Linked DNA regions of Coturnix japonica. The main gene of each other region encodes a partner of the protein of the gene in region 4 in a complex. Links are inferred from orthologs where the notes say so. Each region holds a gene or a part of one and is shown on either strand. Other genes may lie near its edges.

The links.
Region 1: CRNKL1 (region 4) and SNRNP200 share a complex: the UniProt entries of both Homo sapiens proteins name them as parts of the minor spliceosome. The link is inferred for Coturnix japonica from reciprocal best matches to the Homo sapiens genes CRNKL1 and SNRNP200.
Region 2: CRNKL1 (region 4) and RBMX2 share a complex: the UniProt entries of both Homo sapiens proteins name them as parts of the minor spliceosome. The link is inferred for Coturnix japonica from reciprocal best matches to the Homo sapiens genes CRNKL1 and RBMX2.
Region 3: CRNKL1 (region 4) and spliceosome-associated protein CWC27 homolog share a complex: the UniProt entries of both Homo sapiens proteins name them as parts of the minor spliceosome. The link is inferred for Coturnix japonica from reciprocal best matches to the Homo sapiens genes CRNKL1 and CWC27.

Annotation. Positions count from the first base shown.
Region 1 is NC_029537.1:1,058,109-1,062,154, reverse strand, and holds the start of SNRNP200 (U5 small nuclear ribonucleoprotein 200 kDa helicase), read left to right. Parts: upstream 1-1,244; 5' UTR 1,245-1,333; coding exon 1,334-1,378; intron 1,379-2,459; coding exon 2,460-2,623; intron 2,624-3,486; coding exon 3,487-3,658; intron 3,659-3,777; coding exon 3,778-3,970; intron 3,971-4,046. Other genes in the region: protein FAM178B, read right to left, coding at 610-880. UniProt on the Homo sapiens protein: Catalyzes the ATP-dependent unwinding of U4/U6 RNA duplices, an essential step in the assembly of a catalytically active spliceosome. Plays a role in pre-mRNA splicing as a core component of precatalytic, catalytic and postcatalytic spliceosomal complexes.
Region 2 is NC_029519.1:1,522,343-1,526,642, reverse strand, and holds RBMX2 (RNA-binding motif protein, X-linked 2), read left to right. Parts: upstream 1-1,498; 5' UTR 1,499-1,547; coding exon 1,548-1,552; intron 1,553-1,634; coding exon 1,635-1,750; intron 1,751-1,898; coding exon 1,899-1,950; intron 1,951-2,028; coding exon 2,029-2,158; intron 2,159-2,280; coding exon 2,281-2,461; intron 2,462-2,875; coding exon 2,876-3,321; 3' UTR 3,322-3,829; downstream 3,830-4,300. Other genes in the region: RAB33A (ras-related protein Rab-33A), read left to right, coding at 965-1,420; SLC25A14 (brain mitochondrial carrier protein 1), read left to right, coding at 4,139-4,202. UniProt on the Homo sapiens protein: Involved in pre-mRNA splicing as component of the activated spliceosome. As a component of the minor spliceosome, involved in the splicing of U12-type introns in pre-mRNAs.
Region 3 is NC_029547.1:21,417,244-21,421,537, reverse strand, and holds the start of spliceosome-associated protein CWC27 homolog, read right to left. Parts: upstream 2,803-4,294; coding exon 2,761-2,802; intron 2,117-2,760; coding exon 2,020-2,116; intron 1,560-2,019; coding exon 1,447-1,559; intron 1-1,446. Other genes in the region: protein SREK1IP1, read left to right, coding at 2,792-3,193, 4,156-4,216. UniProt on the Homo sapiens protein: As part of the spliceosome, plays a role in pre-mRNA splicing. Probable inactive PPIase with no peptidyl-prolyl cis-trans isomerase activity. As a component of the minor spliceosome, involved in the splicing of U12-type introns in pre-mRNAs.
Region 4 is NC_029518.1:3,888,538-3,892,683, reverse strand, and holds the start of CRNKL1 (crooked neck-like protein 1), read left to right. Parts: upstream 1-1,338; 5' UTR 1,339-1,400; coding exon 1,401-1,448; intron 1,449-2,102; coding exon 2,103-2,255; intron 2,256-3,191; coding exon 3,192-3,283; intron 3,284-3,394; coding exon 3,395-3,553; intron 3,554-3,885; coding exon 3,886-4,052; intron 4,053-4,146. Other genes in the region: CFAP61 (cilia- and flagella-associated protein 61), read right to left, coding at 849-991. UniProt on the Homo sapiens protein: Involved in pre-mRNA splicing process. As a component of the minor spliceosome, involved in the splicing of U12-type introns in pre-mRNAs.

The DNA of each region.
Region 1 (4,046 bases), on a different chromosome or scaffold from region 4:
TGTGGATGCAATGGGGATGCAATGGGGATCAGTGGGGGACTCTATAGGGGCTCTGGGGATGCAATTGGGGGCTCCATAGGGCTCTGGGGATGCAATGGGGATCAGTGGGGGGCCCTGGGGATGCAATGGGGGGCTCTATGGGGGCTCTGGGGATAGAAAGAGGATCAGTGGGGGACTCTATAGGGACTCTGGGTATACAATGGGGATCAATGGGGGACTCCATAGGGCACTGTGGATGCAATGGGGGGCTCTATAGGGCCCTGGGGATGCAATGGGGGACTCTATAGGGGCTCTGGGGATGCAATGGGGACCAGTGGGGGGCACTGGGGATGCAATGGGGGACTCTATAGGGGCTCTGAGGATTCAATAGGGATCAGTGGGGGACTCTATAGGGGCAGTGGGGATCAATAGGGATCAATGGGATCAATAGGGATCAATAGGGATCAATAGGGATCAATGGGGAGCAATAGGGATCAATGGGGGACTCTATAGGGGCTCTGAGGATTCAATAGGGATCAGTGGGGGCTCTATAGGACCCTGGCTATACAAGGGGATCATTGTGTTGCTCTATGTGGGGCCAAACATGGTCCCCCCCCCGTCCTCTCTCACCTGTCCGTGCTCCGCCCTGAGGCCTCATTGGGGGCGGTGAGGCCGGAGGCCGCGGATCCACTGGGCCGAGCGGCGGCGGGAGGAAGGGGCGGCCTACCCGGAGGTGTTTACTGACACGGAGCTGCTGGTAGGAACACAGGCTGTACTGGAAGGACGAGCTGAAGAGCCCCGAGCGGGGCACACGGGCCGAGGACAGCGGGATTTGGTACCAGCGGAGCAGCCCCGCCCGCTGACCTCGTCGCGCCGACGTCCCGCGCAACATGGCGGCCATGGGCGGGCGGGGTGAGAGAAAAGGGCGGGCTCTCCTCAGAAAGGCGGCGCTACCAAGTGCGGCTACTAACGGCGGGATTGGCCGTTTAACTGCCGACAGGAGCCCGGCAGCCAATCGCGGCTCGAGGGTTCGACCAATCAGCGCGCGCGCTGAACGGGATTGGTTAAAGAAGAGAAGTGTCCCGCCCACCTGTGCTCTCAGCCAATCAGAAGGGGTGGAGAGTGTCCCCGCCCCCCACCTCCCGCGGTGCATGCTGGGAGCTGCAGTCAACGGGCCTCTGCCGCGGTGCATGCTGGGAGCTGCAGTCAACGGGCCCCTGCCGTGGTGCATGCTGGGAGGCCTTGTGCGGAACCTCTTCCGGGATCGGGCTGTTTCCGCTTCCGTTGTTTCCGCTTCCGCCGGAAGTTCAGCTCCAGGGCCTGTTCCCGTGCACGGCGGTGGCGGGGCGGCAACATGGCGGACGTGACCGCTCGCAGCCTGCAGTACGAGTACAAGGCGGTGAGTGCCGGCTCGGGGCCTGTGCGCGGTGGGGATGCCGGCCTCATTCCTCCGGGCCTTCCCCGTCTAACGGGGGCCAATATGGCGGATCTCGTATAGTGAGGCCTTGTCGGGCCTTGTGTGGCCTGTGGTGATTTAAACCGGGCCTGTTTGAAGCCGGGGGCTTTAAGAGATGGTTGGAGGTGCGGCCTGCGTCCCTTATGGGCGGTGGGGGCTGCTGGATATAGGGCTGTGGGGAGGATAATAGGGGCTATGGGAGGATATAGGGCTGTGGGGTGGGGGTAATAGGGGCTGTAAGAAGGATATAGGGCTGTGGGGAGGATATAGGGGCTGTAGGATGCTTATAGGGCTGTAGGATGCTTATAGGGCTGTAGGATGCTTATAGGGCTGTGGAGGGATATAGGGCTGTGGGGAGAATACTGGGGTATGGGAAGGGTAATAAGGGCTGTGGGGAGGGTATTGGGCTGTAGGAAGAAAAATAAGGACTGTGGGAGGATATAGGGCTGTAGGAAGGATATTGGGGTATAGGAAGGGTAATAAGGGTTATGGGAGGAATGTAGGGCTGTGAGAAGGATGTTGGGCTGTGGGGAGGGATATAGGGCTGTGGGGTGGATATTGGGGTATGGGAAGGGTAATAGGGGCTGTGGGGAGGATATAGGGGCTGTAGGATGGCTATAGGGCTGTGGGGGGGTAATAAGGGCCGTGGGGAGGATATAGGGCTGTGGAAGGATATAGGGCTGTGGGGGGGAAAATAAGGGTTGTAGGATGGATATAGGGCTGTGGGGGGGTGATAAAGGCTGTGGGGAGGGTATTGGGGTATGGGAAGGATAATAAGGGCTGTGGGGATGATATAGGACTGTAGGAAGGATATAGGGCTGTGGGGAGGATAATAAGGGCTGTGGGAGGATATAGGGCTGTGGGAGGGATATTGGGCTGTGGGGAAGGTAATAAGGGTTCTAGGAAAGATATAGGGCTGTGGGGAGGATAATAGGGGCTGTGGGAGGGATATAGGGCTGTGTAATAAGGCTGTAGGAACATAAAGGCTCCACCTGATGCATTGTGACCCCCATCCCCCCCCCAGAACTCCAACCTCGTGCTCCAAGCTGACCGTTCTCTCATTGACCGGACGCGACGCGATGAACCCACGGGTGAAGTGTTGTCCCTGGTGGGTAAATTGGAAGGGACGCGGATGGGAGACAAGGCGCAGCGCACCAAGCCACAGATGCAGGAGGAGCGACGGGCCAAGTGAGAGCTGAGCGGGGCCTGGGGGTGGGAGGGGGCTCTGAGGGGGCTGTGGGGCTTCAGTGGTTATAAGCAATGTGGAATCACACAGTGATGGAGGTTGGGAAAGAGCTGTGAGGTGATGGATCCCAATTGGTGCATACACCACTGAGTGGTGGCATTGAGTGGTGGTATCGTGTTGGTGTATGGTCAGATACCAACATATATGGTTGTTATATGTGGTTGAGTTGTGGGTCCTCAGAGCCCCCCCAGGTTCATCTCCTGCCCTGGTGCCCCCCTCCAGCTTATACCCAACACAACTTCAGTCGCCTTTGGCACCTCCAGGGTTGGGGCACCCACAGCTCCTCTGTTCCACCACCCTCATAGTGAAGAAGGTGACCCTAAATCTCCCCTCTTTTACCCCAAAGCCGTTCCCATATCCATCAGCCCATCCCCAAGCACCACATACACACACCTTTTGATCCTTCAGCATCCTTCACAGCTTTCCCAATGTAGAAATACTTCCCCTCGACCAAAACTTCCCCAATTCAACCCAGGGCTGGGGTCTCTTGTGATGCTGTGGGATAAAAGATCAACCCCCCCTCACTGCTGTGTCCTCCTTTGAGGCAGATATGGAGTTTCTCCTTTTCTCTCCAGGCTAAATAACCCCATTCCCTAAGCTGCTCATTGTAAACTGGCTCCAGACCCTTTGCAGCTTCATTCTCTCTCCTTGTCGGGAAGCGAAAAGTGAAAGGAAAAGGGCTAAAAAGGAGGAAAAACGGGGCAGAGTTTACCTTTATTTTTAACAAAGGGAAGGCCCACGCTTTGCTGTCCAGCATTACTGGGATTCCCTGCTTTGAGCTGCTATGGGTGCTCTCTGTTTGCAGGAGGAGGAAGCGCGATGAGGACAGACACGACATCAACAAGATGAAGGGTTACACTCTGCTGTCCGAGGGCATCGACGAGATGGTGGGGATCATCTACAAGCCTAAAACCAAAGAGACACGGGAGACCTACGAGGTGTTGCTGAGCTTCATCCAGGCTGCCCTCGGGGACCAGGTGAGGAGCTGGATGTGTGTGATGGGGGCACATCCATATCACAAGGGGGATAATATCTGTGCCATAATATCTGCCCCTATGGTGATCTCCTGCTTATGTGGCTGCTGGTTGTTCCCCAGCCACGAGACATTCTGTGTGGAGCTGCTGATGAAGTGCTGGCAGTGCTGAAGAACGAGAAGCTGCGTGATAAGGAGAGACGTAAAGAGATCGATCTGCTGCTGGGCCAGACTGACGACACCCGTTATCACGTGCTGGTGAACCTGGGCAAGAAGATCACGGATTATGGTGGTGACAAGGAGATCCAGAACATGGGTATGGACAGATTATGGTGACAAGAAGATTTAGAACATGGGTATGGGCACAGATTGTGATAGTGACAATGAGATTC
Region 2 (4,300 bases), on a different chromosome or scaffold from region 4:
GACAGGTGTCAGAAGCTATATTCATGTGTCCCTAGCCTTCTTTTTGTCCCCTATAGACTTGGAAAAGCCATTCCTGGTGCCTTTAACATCTCTTGTCACATATAGTGCCAGCTGTATTTCTTTCTAAACCACCTCCCCGTGTGCTCTGACATTGTGTCTGTACTCCTCTCAAGTCACTTGTCTCACCTTCCACCTTCCCTGTACTTCCTCTTTGTACCTCTTGGTATTTTTGCTTGACTTCCTCTTTGTTCACATGGGCAGCTCAGAGGTGGAGGCACATCAGTATTGGGTAGCTTTCTTTGGTCCCATTTTCCTATAGGTCCTTGACCCACAGGACTCTTTCAGAGCCACCTCTTGGTTAATGAGTTGGCTTTACCTTCACAGCTGCCCTGCTGAAGCTGGCCCAGCGTAGCAGCTTCCCTCGCTGGCTCTTCTATCACTTGAGTTTTGAAGTTGGAATCTCACGCTTTAAGCTGTGCTGTGTTGCCCCTCCAGCATACACTGGAATGGCTGAAGGCCTCCAGAAGGGCCTAAGCCTGCAAACATGAGACTCCCATCTGTCTGCAGAGGGCACCTTCCATTTACTCTCCCTGATCAGGCTGGAGCTGCACACTGCCCTGTCTCCATGGCTCTCGGCTCTTTAATCCTTATTGTTTGCCTGGTTCCTCCCCCAGACAGAGCTCCATGCAGGAACGCCGCTCTCTTTGCCCTGCCTCCTTTGTGGATACAGAGCATCATTTCAGTGTCCTCATACAGCACAGCATTAGGTGGGTTGGTGTGTTAGTCTGTTCTGACACGAGCAGTGCTGTGTGCAGTTTGACAGGGATGATGGCTGGGTACACCAACATGGGGCAGGTAAGTCACCGGGCTGGGGCCTTTCACCCCTGTAGCACAGCAATGAGCAGAGCAGCAGCACAGCATCCTGCAGCAGCAATGGCTGCTCACGCCGTGTTGTGCCCCATAGGTGCAGGTGTGGGACACGGCCGGGCAGGAGCGGTTCCGGAAGAGCATGGTGGAGCACTACTACCGCAACGTGCACGCCGTGGTCTTCGTGTACGACGTCACCAAGATGGCGTCCTTCACCAACCTCAAGATGTGGATCGAGGAGTGCAACGTTCACGCCGTGTCCCCCCTGGTCCCCAAAGTGCTGGTGGGGAACAAGTGTGACTTGAAGGACCTGATCCAGGTGCCGTCCGGCATGGCTCTCAAATTCGCCGACGCTCACAACATGCTGTTGTTCGAAACCTCGGCCAAGGACCCTAAAGAGAGCCAGAACGTGGAGTCCATCTTCATGTGCCTGGCCTGCCGGCTCAAGGCGCAGAAGTCGCTGCTCTATCGCGACATGGAGAAGCGGCCGGGCCGGGCGCAGAAGCTAGAGCCGTCACGTGACGCCCACGGTAAAAGCGCGTGTCCGTGCTGAGCGCCGACCAATAAAGCTGTGCGGAGCCCTCGGACTCGTTGCTTTGCTTGGCGCGCATGCGCGGCCGGGGCGGGGGCGGAGGCGGGGGGGTAAGGGGGGCGCATGCGCAGTGCGCGCCGCCGCCGCCATGAAGTAGGTTTGGATGGGGGCTGGGTGAGGGGGGGGTGTGCGACCGGCCGGTGCTAACGGTGCTAACGGAGTGCATCGCCCCCAGCCCGCTGACCAAAGTGAAGCTGATCAACGAGCTGAACGCGCGGGAGGCGGAGCTGGGCGTGAGCGAGGCGGTGTCGTGGCACGCCGAGTACAAGGACAGCGCGTGGGTCTTCATCGGTACGTGTAGGCCGCGATGGGGGGACGGGGAGGGAGGAGAGAGCAGGGCTGTGGTAGGCCCTGTGCTGGGCTCCGTGCTGGGCTCCATGCTGGGCTCCGTGCTGGGCTCCGTGCTGGGCCTCCATCGCTGCCCTGTCTCCCCCCGCAGGCGGGCTGCCCTACCAGCTGACAGAGGGGGACGTCATCTGTGTGTTCTCGCAGTAAGTTCCTACCTGCTCCATCCCCATCTTGCTGTGCCCCTCCAGCCCTGCTCTGTGGCTGCTGATGGTGTGTTCCAGGTACGGGGAGGTGGTGAACATTAATCTGGTGCGGGATAAGAAGACTGGGAAGTCCAAAGGGTTTTGCTTTTTGTGCTATGAGGATCAGAGGAGCACCGTGCTTGCTGTTGATAACTTCAATGGGATCAAGGTGAGTGATGGAGCTGTGTGGCTGCAGCAGCTCCTGGAGCGCTCAGAGCACATCAGAGAGAAGCTCCATCGGCTGCTGGCCCCACAGCACACGCTTTGCTGACTACCTGACTCCTGTCCTAGATCAAAGGCAGGACGATCCGAGTGGACCACGTGGCCAACTACCGGACTCCCAAGGACTCCGATGATTTAGATGATGTCACAAAAGCCCTCCATGCAAAGGGCTGCGGAGTGAAAACACCACCTCATACGTCGTCAGATTCCTCCTTGGAGGATGAAGACACGCCAGCCCAAAAGCAAAAAGGTGAAATGCATTTCTGCCCATCTTTGCCCTGGGTGGGAGGATCTGTGTGGGCTACAGGGACTCTTAGCTCAGCGTACAGCAGGGATAGGGATCCTCTTGAAAACAGATGCAACCCGAATGTCCAGGCTTATCCTCTGTGATCTGCGTCACACTGCCAGTATTTATCTATGATCATTCACCCCCTGCCTCTGGAGATCCTTATTTTGCAGGTTATAGTGGCACTCTTCCTGGAGAAAAGGAGTTGGGCTGGGCTGCAGGGATGTTGCAAGGGGGAGGGGGCAGGACAGTGGGGGACAGGGAGAAGAAAGGCTCCAATAAAGCCTTTCTCTACAGAGCTCTGGTGCTCTGTAGCAGAACTGGTGGGGATGATGCTTGCAGGACTGTCCATCTCTAAGGATGACCTTTTTGTTTCAGATAAAGAGAAGAATAAACATGAACGGCAAAAGCAGAGCTCTCAGGCTGCAAAGAGAGCAGCACCTGCCGAAGAGGCACATCCGAGAATCAAGATTAAAAAGGAGAAGGAAGATCCTGGCTACGAGCGATATGCTGCTGGTGGGGGTCAGCAGTCCTGCAGTGAGTCTGAGAGGAAACACGTGAGCAGGACGCAGCGAGATGAGGAAGAGCAGAGACACCAAAGGTCGTCGGGGAGGAGAGGGGAAAAGAGCTCCCAGGAACACAGAGGGCAGAACAGCTCACGGGAAGAGAGAGGAGAGGTCAGCAGGAAGGGTGAGGGACACAGCAGCTGGCGAGAAGAGTGTTCTGAGGGAAGCAGATCCAGGCACCGGCGGGAGAGCAGCAGCAGAGAGCCCCATTCCAAGCACAGGGAGCGTGGATCCACCAGAGATTCCAGCCGTCACTGAGCCCTGGAGTGAGCACCTTCTGGGCCACAGCTGTGCTCTGTGAGCTGCACCGGGAGCCTGTCTGAAGCCTCCTGCTATGGCCCTAAGGGTACCACAGCTGTGTCTCGTCTCACACACACCACTCTGACCGGTTCACTCCTCAGACAGGTTGCTCTCAGTGCTGTGGGCTGTGATGTGGGCTCTGCTGCTGCCTTGCTCGGCCCTTCTGTGCAGTGGCATCACTCAGACGGTTGTGGAGGGGCTCACGGCACAGTGTGGGCAGTGGGGTGCTGAGCAGCAGGATACGGACACCGAAACTGCCCACGTTGTTCAGGGGGAGCGTCCCTGTCTGCAGTGGGGCGGTGGGTGCTTGCAGGCGGGCACGGTGCTTTGTGCCCCCAGCCCGTCCTGCTTCCTTTGTTTATGTGATGGATATCAGAGGCTGCTGAGCCATCGCAGTTCATGGCGTTTTTTGTTTTAAACTCCTTTTAATAAAAATCGATCCTTTAACCAGAGGAGATGACTGGGAGCACTGCTTGTGTCCGGTTGTGCTGTTTGGACTGAGCATTGATGGCAGCTGACACAGAAATGGGGAGCGCACAGCAGTGGATCTGAGCTGCGCTTTGCTCTCGGGGTGGTTCCGGTCGGTCCCGTGCCTGCAGCGCTCTCCCGTCTCCTCCCCGCCGTTCTCGGGCGGTGCCGCTGGATCCCAATTGCGGGCCGAGCTGCCGGGTCCGCCCGGCTGGGGGGCGCAGTGCTTCCCGTTCCGCCGCGCTTCCGGTTCCGGGTGGAGTTGAGGCAGTGTCCGGCCCGGCGCGGCGGCGCGCCCCGCCATGCCATGTCCGCGCTGAACTGGAAACCCTTCGTGTACGGCGGGCTCGCCTCCATCGTGGCCGAGTTCGGTGAGCTGCGGCGGGTACCGGCGGGTACCGGCGGGTATCGGCGGGTACCGGCGGGTACCGGCGGGTATCGGCGGGTATCGGCGGGTACCGGCGGGTAC
Region 3 (4,294 bases), on a different chromosome or scaffold from region 4:
GATATTGATAAGTAATGCATTAATACCACAGTAGTATAAAACTCCTAAGTGCTTTCACACTTAACAATAATACCAAATTAAAGAAGTGTTGTTACTACAGTATTAGAAACATTTGTTTTGATGTTTTCTCAGGCAGCGATCCCTCCCACAAACTTCAGATTTGCATTACAATTACAGCTGTTGGACTGAAGGCCCAGAAAGGTCACACAGGTTCAGTCGCCAGCTAAAGATGTTTACCCTATCTGAAATTCTGAACCAGAACTAGAGCACAGCTACTGTGCATGTGTAACCTCACTCAGAATCTGAAGACCCTGACCAAGAGATGAGATGTGCTACTATCAGTAATACTAGTGACTACATTTACAGACCTTTGCCAGTTCAGGTAAAATGTACATAACTCACATTTCTGCTCCTCAGTTTGACACACAAATCCATAGAATGCTTTGGGACCTTATATATCACCCAGTTCCAACCCCCTGTCATGGGCAGGGTTACCTCTCACTAGACTGGGTTATCCAAAGCCCCATCCAGCCTGGCCTTAAGCACTCACAGGGATGACGCATCCATAGCTTTTGCAGGCCATCTGTTCATTGCCTTATCACTTTCTGAGTTAAGAATTTCTTCCTAATGTCTAACTTAAATCTACTGTACAAAATACCCCTATCTTTTATCACTCCCTGACAAAGAGTCCTTCTTCAGCTTTCCTGTAGGTCCCCTTTAGGTACTGGAAGACCATTGTATGGCCTCTGCAGACTCCTCTCTTCTCCAAGCTGAACAAGTCCAGCTCCCTTAACCATTCTTCACAGATGTGCTCCTGCCCTCTGATCACCTTTGTGGCATCCTCTGGGCCTGCTTCCTATGTTCCTTCTTGTGCTGGAGACTCTAGACCTGCATGAAATAGTTTAGATGGGGCCTCATGAGGGCAGAGCAGAGGACAGCCATGTCCCCCTTTCAGTGAAGCCCAGGATACAGTCAGCCTTCTGGGCTGCATTTCCCACTGTGGGCTCACACTGAGTTTCTCATCAACCAGCACCCCTCACAGCTGCTCTCAATCCATTCTCTGCTCAGCCTGTACTTGTGCTTAGGATTGTCCCGATATAGGAGCAGGACACTGCACTTGTTCTTGTTTAACTTTATGAAGTTAAAACACTTGCTCTGAACAGTTTTCTCTCCTAGTTTTATCTTGTTGAAGTGAACATTAATAGGGTTATACGTTTATCACAGAACTGAAACAGACAGATTTAAGAACACTCAATTCTAAAATGCACATTCAAAAATATTGAAGCATGTGCAAATTTAGAATATGAATGAACTTTAGCATAAAATATAGAATAAACTGCATTCCTTATACAAAATTTGTTTACTCAAAAAATTCACACACAGTAGCAAGGACAACTGCCAGAGACTAAGCAAACATCAACATGCACAAGATATACAGCTACATACCTTGAAGGGAGCTCCATAGATTGAATCTCCACCTGACCCAGTACCAGTGGGATCACCTCCCTGCACTATAAAACCTGGCACAACTCTGTGAAATATTGTATTATTGTAATACTCTAAAAAAGAAAGAGAAAATACATTAAATACATTTAAGTTATCTAAAATCACACCTCAATAGAGATTATGCAGACATATCAGTGACTCATGAAGAAATGAACATGCAGTAAGCACATGATACAGGAATGACCTTAACAGGAGAAGTCCAAACACAGCATCACTGACATTTTCTACGTTCATTAAAGCTGCAATACTTTGTATAAACTTCCTGAAGACAAGCCTTCCTAAACATGTGACAACTCCTACATCTAAGAAAACCACCAAAAAATTGTACTTTTCACATCCATTGGTTTCCTTAATGACTTTAAAAAAACGTTCTTGGTCTGGATAGCAGATAATATAAATAATTAGTTAACATATTAAAACTTACTTATGACCTACCTTTTCCATAACTGTCACCAAAATACCAATATTGCACATGAAATAATTCTAACAAGTCCTACCCCATTTTGCCATTACCTTCCATACAAAGCTGGATAAAATTTCGACATGCTTTTGGTGCTTCTTTTGACCACAATTCTATATCGATATCTCCTGCTGTAGTTCTCAGCAAGACCTGCAAAATTTTTATAAACAAACCATTAGTTTTATTGCAACTTAGACACTAATAAACAAATATTACTACTAAGTTAAAAAACACTCCTAAATTCATAACATTAACAACAGCCGTAGATAAGTAGTAAGCAGGAGTCGGACTTGTTCTGGAGAAGGCTCCTGGGAGACCTCACTACAGCCTTCCAGTATTTAAAGTAAGGATATAAACAAGAAGGAAACCAATTTTTTACATGCGTAGTTAGTGACAGGACAAGGGCGGATGGTTTTAAAGTGGAAGAGAGAAGATTTAGATTGGCTGAGTGGCAAAAGTTATTTACTCAGAGGGTGGTGAGGCACTGCCCAGAGAAGCAGTGGGTGCTCCATCCCTGGAGGAGTCAAGGCCATGCTGGATGGGGCGCTGGGCAGCCTGAGCTGGTGGGGGATGACAACTAACGGAGGGTAGAATATTAAATACTCTTAGTATTTCCACAGTGAGACAACACAGAAAAGGAATATGCCTTAAACCTCTAGCGGCACGCTCTTATTACAAGAGACATCAATACAGATCAATAAATGCGAATTCCTATCAAAGCGGTAAACATAAGCGTCCGAGAGCGATAACACCGGACTCGTGCCCCTCGCCCTCGCTGCCCGCAGGATCCTCACCTTGCCGTTGGTGGGGGGCTCCTGGATGTAGATGTTGCTCATGCTGAGGAAGGGGTGTCGTGGCGGAACGCACCGCCCGAGCCCAACGCTAACAACACTGCCTCTCTACCCGCGCTACTGCCCGCAGCCCGCCGCCATCTTGGGCGCCTCTACACAGTACAATGTGGCGGGGGGAAGGTGTGACTGCTCAGAGCTGTGGGAGAAAGAATTGCTCCTCCGATGGGGGAATCACTCAGTGAATTCTTTCCGAAAGGATGTGAAGGCTTTTCCAGACACCTCCGCTCGCTTCTCGTCGCCCCGGCTCGGTACTGAGCACCCCGTCCTCCCCGCGAGTGGCGCGGCCCGAGAGTGCTCCGGCCAAATCCTTCCGGCGGGGACAGGCGCTGCGTTGTTCCTGGGCCCGGCTGTGTGGAGGACGCCATGGCTCTGCCGGGTGAGGAGAGCCGCGGGGCTGCGGGGCGGATGGCTGGGAGGCGTGCGGAGGGGGAGGGTCGGCAGCGCTGTTCGTGAGGTGGTGGGGCCCGAGGAGCGGCTTGCGGTGCGTTTCCCAGCCTGCAGAGCTGCAATGGTACGGCGGGGCTGGGGGCTCCAGCAGCCCTCCTGCGCTCCGTATGCGGCCCTCGCCTGTAGTTTTGTGGGTGCTGAGGCCCACGGCTGCGCTCCTGCCTTCTGCAGGTGTACGCTGCCTTCCTTAGGGGTCCCAAGAATGGCATCGTTCCGCATGTTTTTTTTCTCCTTGTGCCCCAGATTAGCGCCTGCCTGCAGCTAGGTTGTTTAAATGAAGGGTTTAAGAGCAGTGGTGCAGCCAGCGCGGGCAGAAATTGTGTATTTCACCAGGTATTCAGCCTGTGTCATCCTGAGGTATGGGTTTGACTGGAGAAAATTGAGTAAGCTTGAACCTTGCTGTGAGTTCAACAGCAAACCATGGGACTTCAAGGCTCCTCTGGTTCTTTTAGTAGGATTTACTAAAGATGGTACTTCTCTTAATAAATCAAAATTTAAACTCGTGATGCTGATGTACCCCCTTTCTGGTTCCCTAATTTCATAGTTTTCTTCTTATGTTAGGTTGATTATTTAAATAAAGGAACTAGTTTTATGGAAAGCTGTGTATACAACTGTTTAATTTTCCATATTTTTCATACTGGATAGAAAGATACCCTTTGATTTTGGAAATGCTGTTTTGCTTAGAATTATGAATTGACTCAGCAATCCTTTTGTGGGCAACAGGTCTCCAGGCTTTGTCTTGTGAGTTAGATCTTGCTGATCTTCTTAACTGAGGGCGTAGGCACAAAGAGCAACTTTGCCTAAATCCAGAAGAGTTACTAAGCCAGATTTAAAGGGAACTTTTAAGACTTATGTTTAGTAACAAGTGATTGATGAAATTTTCTGTTTCAGGTGCAAATAAGGATAACATCAGAGCAGGATGCAAGAAATGTGGCTACCGTAAGTCTATATAGTAAGCAATATGAGACTACAGTGTTGTTTTGGTTTTTTTTCCCCCTCAATTTATGATGATGGAACTATTTTTGGGGGA
Region 4 (4,146 bases):
TCAGCTTGTTAGAATGTCACCATCCTAATAAAAGTGCTCCAAGGGTCAGGGCTCAATCAAACTTCATTACCCACATCCTACCTTGACATTACTATTTCAATTCCAAACAATTATTTATTTGATTCTGTTATGATAATAGCTCATATGGGTTTTTCAAATCCTGAATGACTACATATTCAGTATGTGTTTCGTCTTCTTCATATTTCTCTTCACACATCTGTTTTTCCCCAGATAGTTGGTATCTGAGGTATTTGGACAAGTGGAAAAAGCCCATGTGGCCTAGTGGTATTTCACACCGTTTGTCTCTATCTGTCATTCATCACAGAAAGATGAAATGACCAACACTTTCTGCATTAACTCCAATAACAGAAGGCTTCTGCCATCAGCCACTTCTCTGAAGGATTTGCCATGGGAGCATCTAGGAGACAAGATACATAATATCTTCCATCCACCTATTGGCAGCTGGCAGGTAGGAAAGGTTCCCTTCCATTAAGGAAAAAAAAAGACAAAGATTTAGACGTACACAAGAAAAGAAAGTGGAACAACTGAGACCATACGGCGATTAAACCCCCTAATCCATGTCTCTCTAATTGCAGCACTCTGCAGTGGACAAAAAGGAATCCATTAGATGGAGCCAGGTGCTGACAGCTGGTGCAGGATCCTCCTGTTTTCACCTGATATCAGCCAAGAATGTTCCATCCTAACTTTAATAAAGATGAAGTTGTGTGAAGCCAAATCTTCTCCACTGTATGTTAAAGCTTATAATGTTTTCTGGCATCTTAAACAGAAAGGAATTCCTTGAAGTTCCCTGCAAGAACAGCAAGACCAAAAGCACTGCTATTACTTACAAAAGGTATTCTACATCAATCCTGCCATAGATGTCTTCTGTAAGATGGGTGAAGAGGCCAACAACACCAGGAGCATCGTTTGCCTCCGTCCTTCTGGTGCGGACCACCTCTTTACGTCCACTCAACGAGGTGATCGTCGTCATGTCGGGAACTGCAACTAATAAAAGAAGGGAAACATTGCTGGTCACAGAATGGCAGAATCATTAAGGATGGATAAGATAACGGCTCCAACCGGCAGCCCGTCCCCACAGCGCCTCGTCCGTGTCCCTCAGCGCCGCGCCTCCCGCCCTGACCTCCGAGCCGCAAGGGGGCGCCATTCACGGGCTAAGAGGAAAGCGCGGCGGCCGGAGGATGCGAGGGGCCTGAGGGGCTGCAGGCCGCACCGGGCACTCACCGCTCCGCTACCCGGTAACGCGGAGCGACCATACGCGGCGCTGAGCTGCCCCAAGCTCCGCACCGCCTCTACCGGGACGCAGCACCGTTACTGCGGCAACCACGGCGCTACGTGAGGTGAAAGGTTGAGGGGCGGAGCTGGAGCGGAGAGACGGCAAGATGGCGTCTACGGCGGCCGGAAAGCAGCGCATCCCCAAAGTGGCCAAGGTGTGTGGCGGTCGATGTCTGGGTGAGGCGGGGTTGTGAGGGGGTGGTGGGGAGAGGGTGGTCGGAGCGGCTGGATGCGCTTCTCTGGGCGGCTACGGGTCCTGGAGCGGCCTAGTGGGACGGAAAGTCCCCACTGAGGGCCTGGAGCGTGTCCAGAGAAGGGCAGCGGAGCTGTGAGGGGTCTGGAGCACGAGTGTGATGGGGAGCGGCTGAGGGAACCGGGGTGTGCAGTGTGGGGGAGAGGAGGATCAAGGGAGACATCATGGCTCTGTGCAGCCACCTGACAGGAGGCTGTGTGAGGTGGGGTCGGCCTCTGCCCCCAGGGAACAGCCATGGGACGAGAGGGGATGGCCTCACGTTGTGCCAGGGGAGGTTCATGTTGGCTGTTAGGAACAATTCCTTCTCCACAGAGCAGTGATGCAGTGGCACAGCTGCACAGGAGTGGTGGGGTCTCTCTTCCAACCTTAATGATTCTATGATTCTTAGTGAGCTCCCTGCTCCCCATCTGCTGGGCAGTGGCAGTGATGCCCATCCTTTCTCTCAGGGGCCTCCAAGTCATTCTTCAGCAGAAGGCCCTGGACCAAACTCTTCTTGATGGGGTTTTTTAGTTTTGCATTGGGAAGGGATAACAAACTAAGTGCCATTGATTTACAGGTGAAAAACAAAGCGCCCGCAGAAGTTCAGATCACAGCAGAGCAGCTTTTAAGAGAAGCAAAGGAGAGAGAACTTGAACTTCTTCCACCACCTCCTCAGCAGAAGATCACAGATGTTGAAGAGCTAAATGACTATAAGCTAAGGAAAAGGAAGGTAAAGGGGGAAAAATAACAAGTTTTACATTTCTATAAAGTGCTAAAATTCAATACTTTCTAATATTGAGACAAATAGTTCTTTGTGTTATTACTTGTTTAGTTTTTAGGTTAATAATTCTTAAAACAACTCTCTTTATAGAAAATGTGTTATTTTCATTCAAAAAGTAAGTTATAAAAGAGTGTTGTTTAACAGGATTTGGTAATATACATGATATCAGATCTCTGCATTCTGTGTTTGGAGCGTAGCATAGGTAATTACATGCATTTTTCTTCAATAATTTCCGTCCTGGATGAAAAGAAAGTAAAGCAAGTGTATTCTTAGCAGTGAAGTTGAAATGTTTTTGACTAGAATTACTCGTATGGATGGCAGTTACAAGCCACTGCGTGTTAACTGTGTTAAACCATGTTTGACTGTGATTTATGTATTGATAGCATTGATCCTGACAGTAGCCAAACTCAACACTGGGGATACTGTCACCATTGCACTGAACTGTGAAAGTTGCCTGGGAGATTTGAAGCCATAATATTAAATCCAGGGAATAAACATAAGGTGTCTTGCCTTAAAGAAAGCGATAGAGTGTTGCACGTACACTGATGCATCCAGATATATTCAGGATTGTGCAATGATTGGGTTCCAGCTATTGCTATTGAAACAGCTGATCAGGATGGAACAAATAATAAACAGGTAGCTTTAGTATAGTTGGTTATTATCCCATCACCATTCCAGGTATCCACTTGCAGGAACTCGAATGTAGTCCTTATCTGTGTGACAACCAACATTTCTAGCTGCTCTAAGTGTTGTATTGAATGGTCATTGTTGCTACCACATGTAACACATAATTATTCTAATAATAATAATAATCTGTAAATCGCTTATGAAAAGATTAGTCAGCACCAAGGATGTTTTAACTTACAGATATAACTTTCTCCTCAGACTTTTGAAGATAACATAAGAAAAAACAGAACTGTTATCAGTAACTGGATAAAGTACGCACAATGGGAAGAAAGCTTAAAAGAAATACAGAGGTAATCGTGTTATAGCTGTAGAACTCTTGTAAACCTTTTACGACTCAGTCTGACAAACACTGTCAGTGTTTTGGAGGCACGTTATAAACACAGCTTCTCTTTGCTTTCCAGAGCCCGTTCCATTTACGAGCGTGCTTTAGATGTGGACTACAGAAATGTCACCCTTTGGCTGAAATATGCAGAAATGGAAATGAAGAACCGCCAGGTTAATCACGCCCGAAACATTTGGGATCGAGCTATTACCACCCTGCCCAGGGTGAACCAATTCTGGTATGTCTACAGAGAATGGAGCGTTGCTTTTACCTCAGAGAGTACGGATCATTTTTATATCTCTATATAATGCAAAAGTGTATTGTATTCTCTTTCTGCAGTTCTTTAGGCTGATCCCCAAGGATGTATAAGCTTAATTTTTGAAAGGTCATGTAGTTTTGGAGTGGTAAGGCTATTAAAGAGAAGGATGTTTGTGTATGTGCTTGTTGCCAGTCACAACAGTATGTAGGAAGTGGGGAACAGGTGGTAGAAGTGCCAGTGATGCTCTTAATAAACACTTGAAAAATCCTTGTAATTTGTATGATTGTAAACACTAGATCTTGTTTCCTAAGGTACAAGTACACTTACATGGAAGAGATGCTGGGGAATGTTGCTGGATCACGTCAGGTGTTTGAACGCTGGATGGAATGGCAACCGGAGGAGCAAGCTTGGCATTCCTACATTAACTTCGAGCTGAGATACAAGGAAGTGGATAGGGCACGTACCATTTATGAAAGATATATCCTTTTTAGTGCATTGTGTCTCCTATCCAAATTTAGGCACGAACTCTTTTGTCTCTATTCTACACCGCCTCCTTTTTACTGTGATGTGCT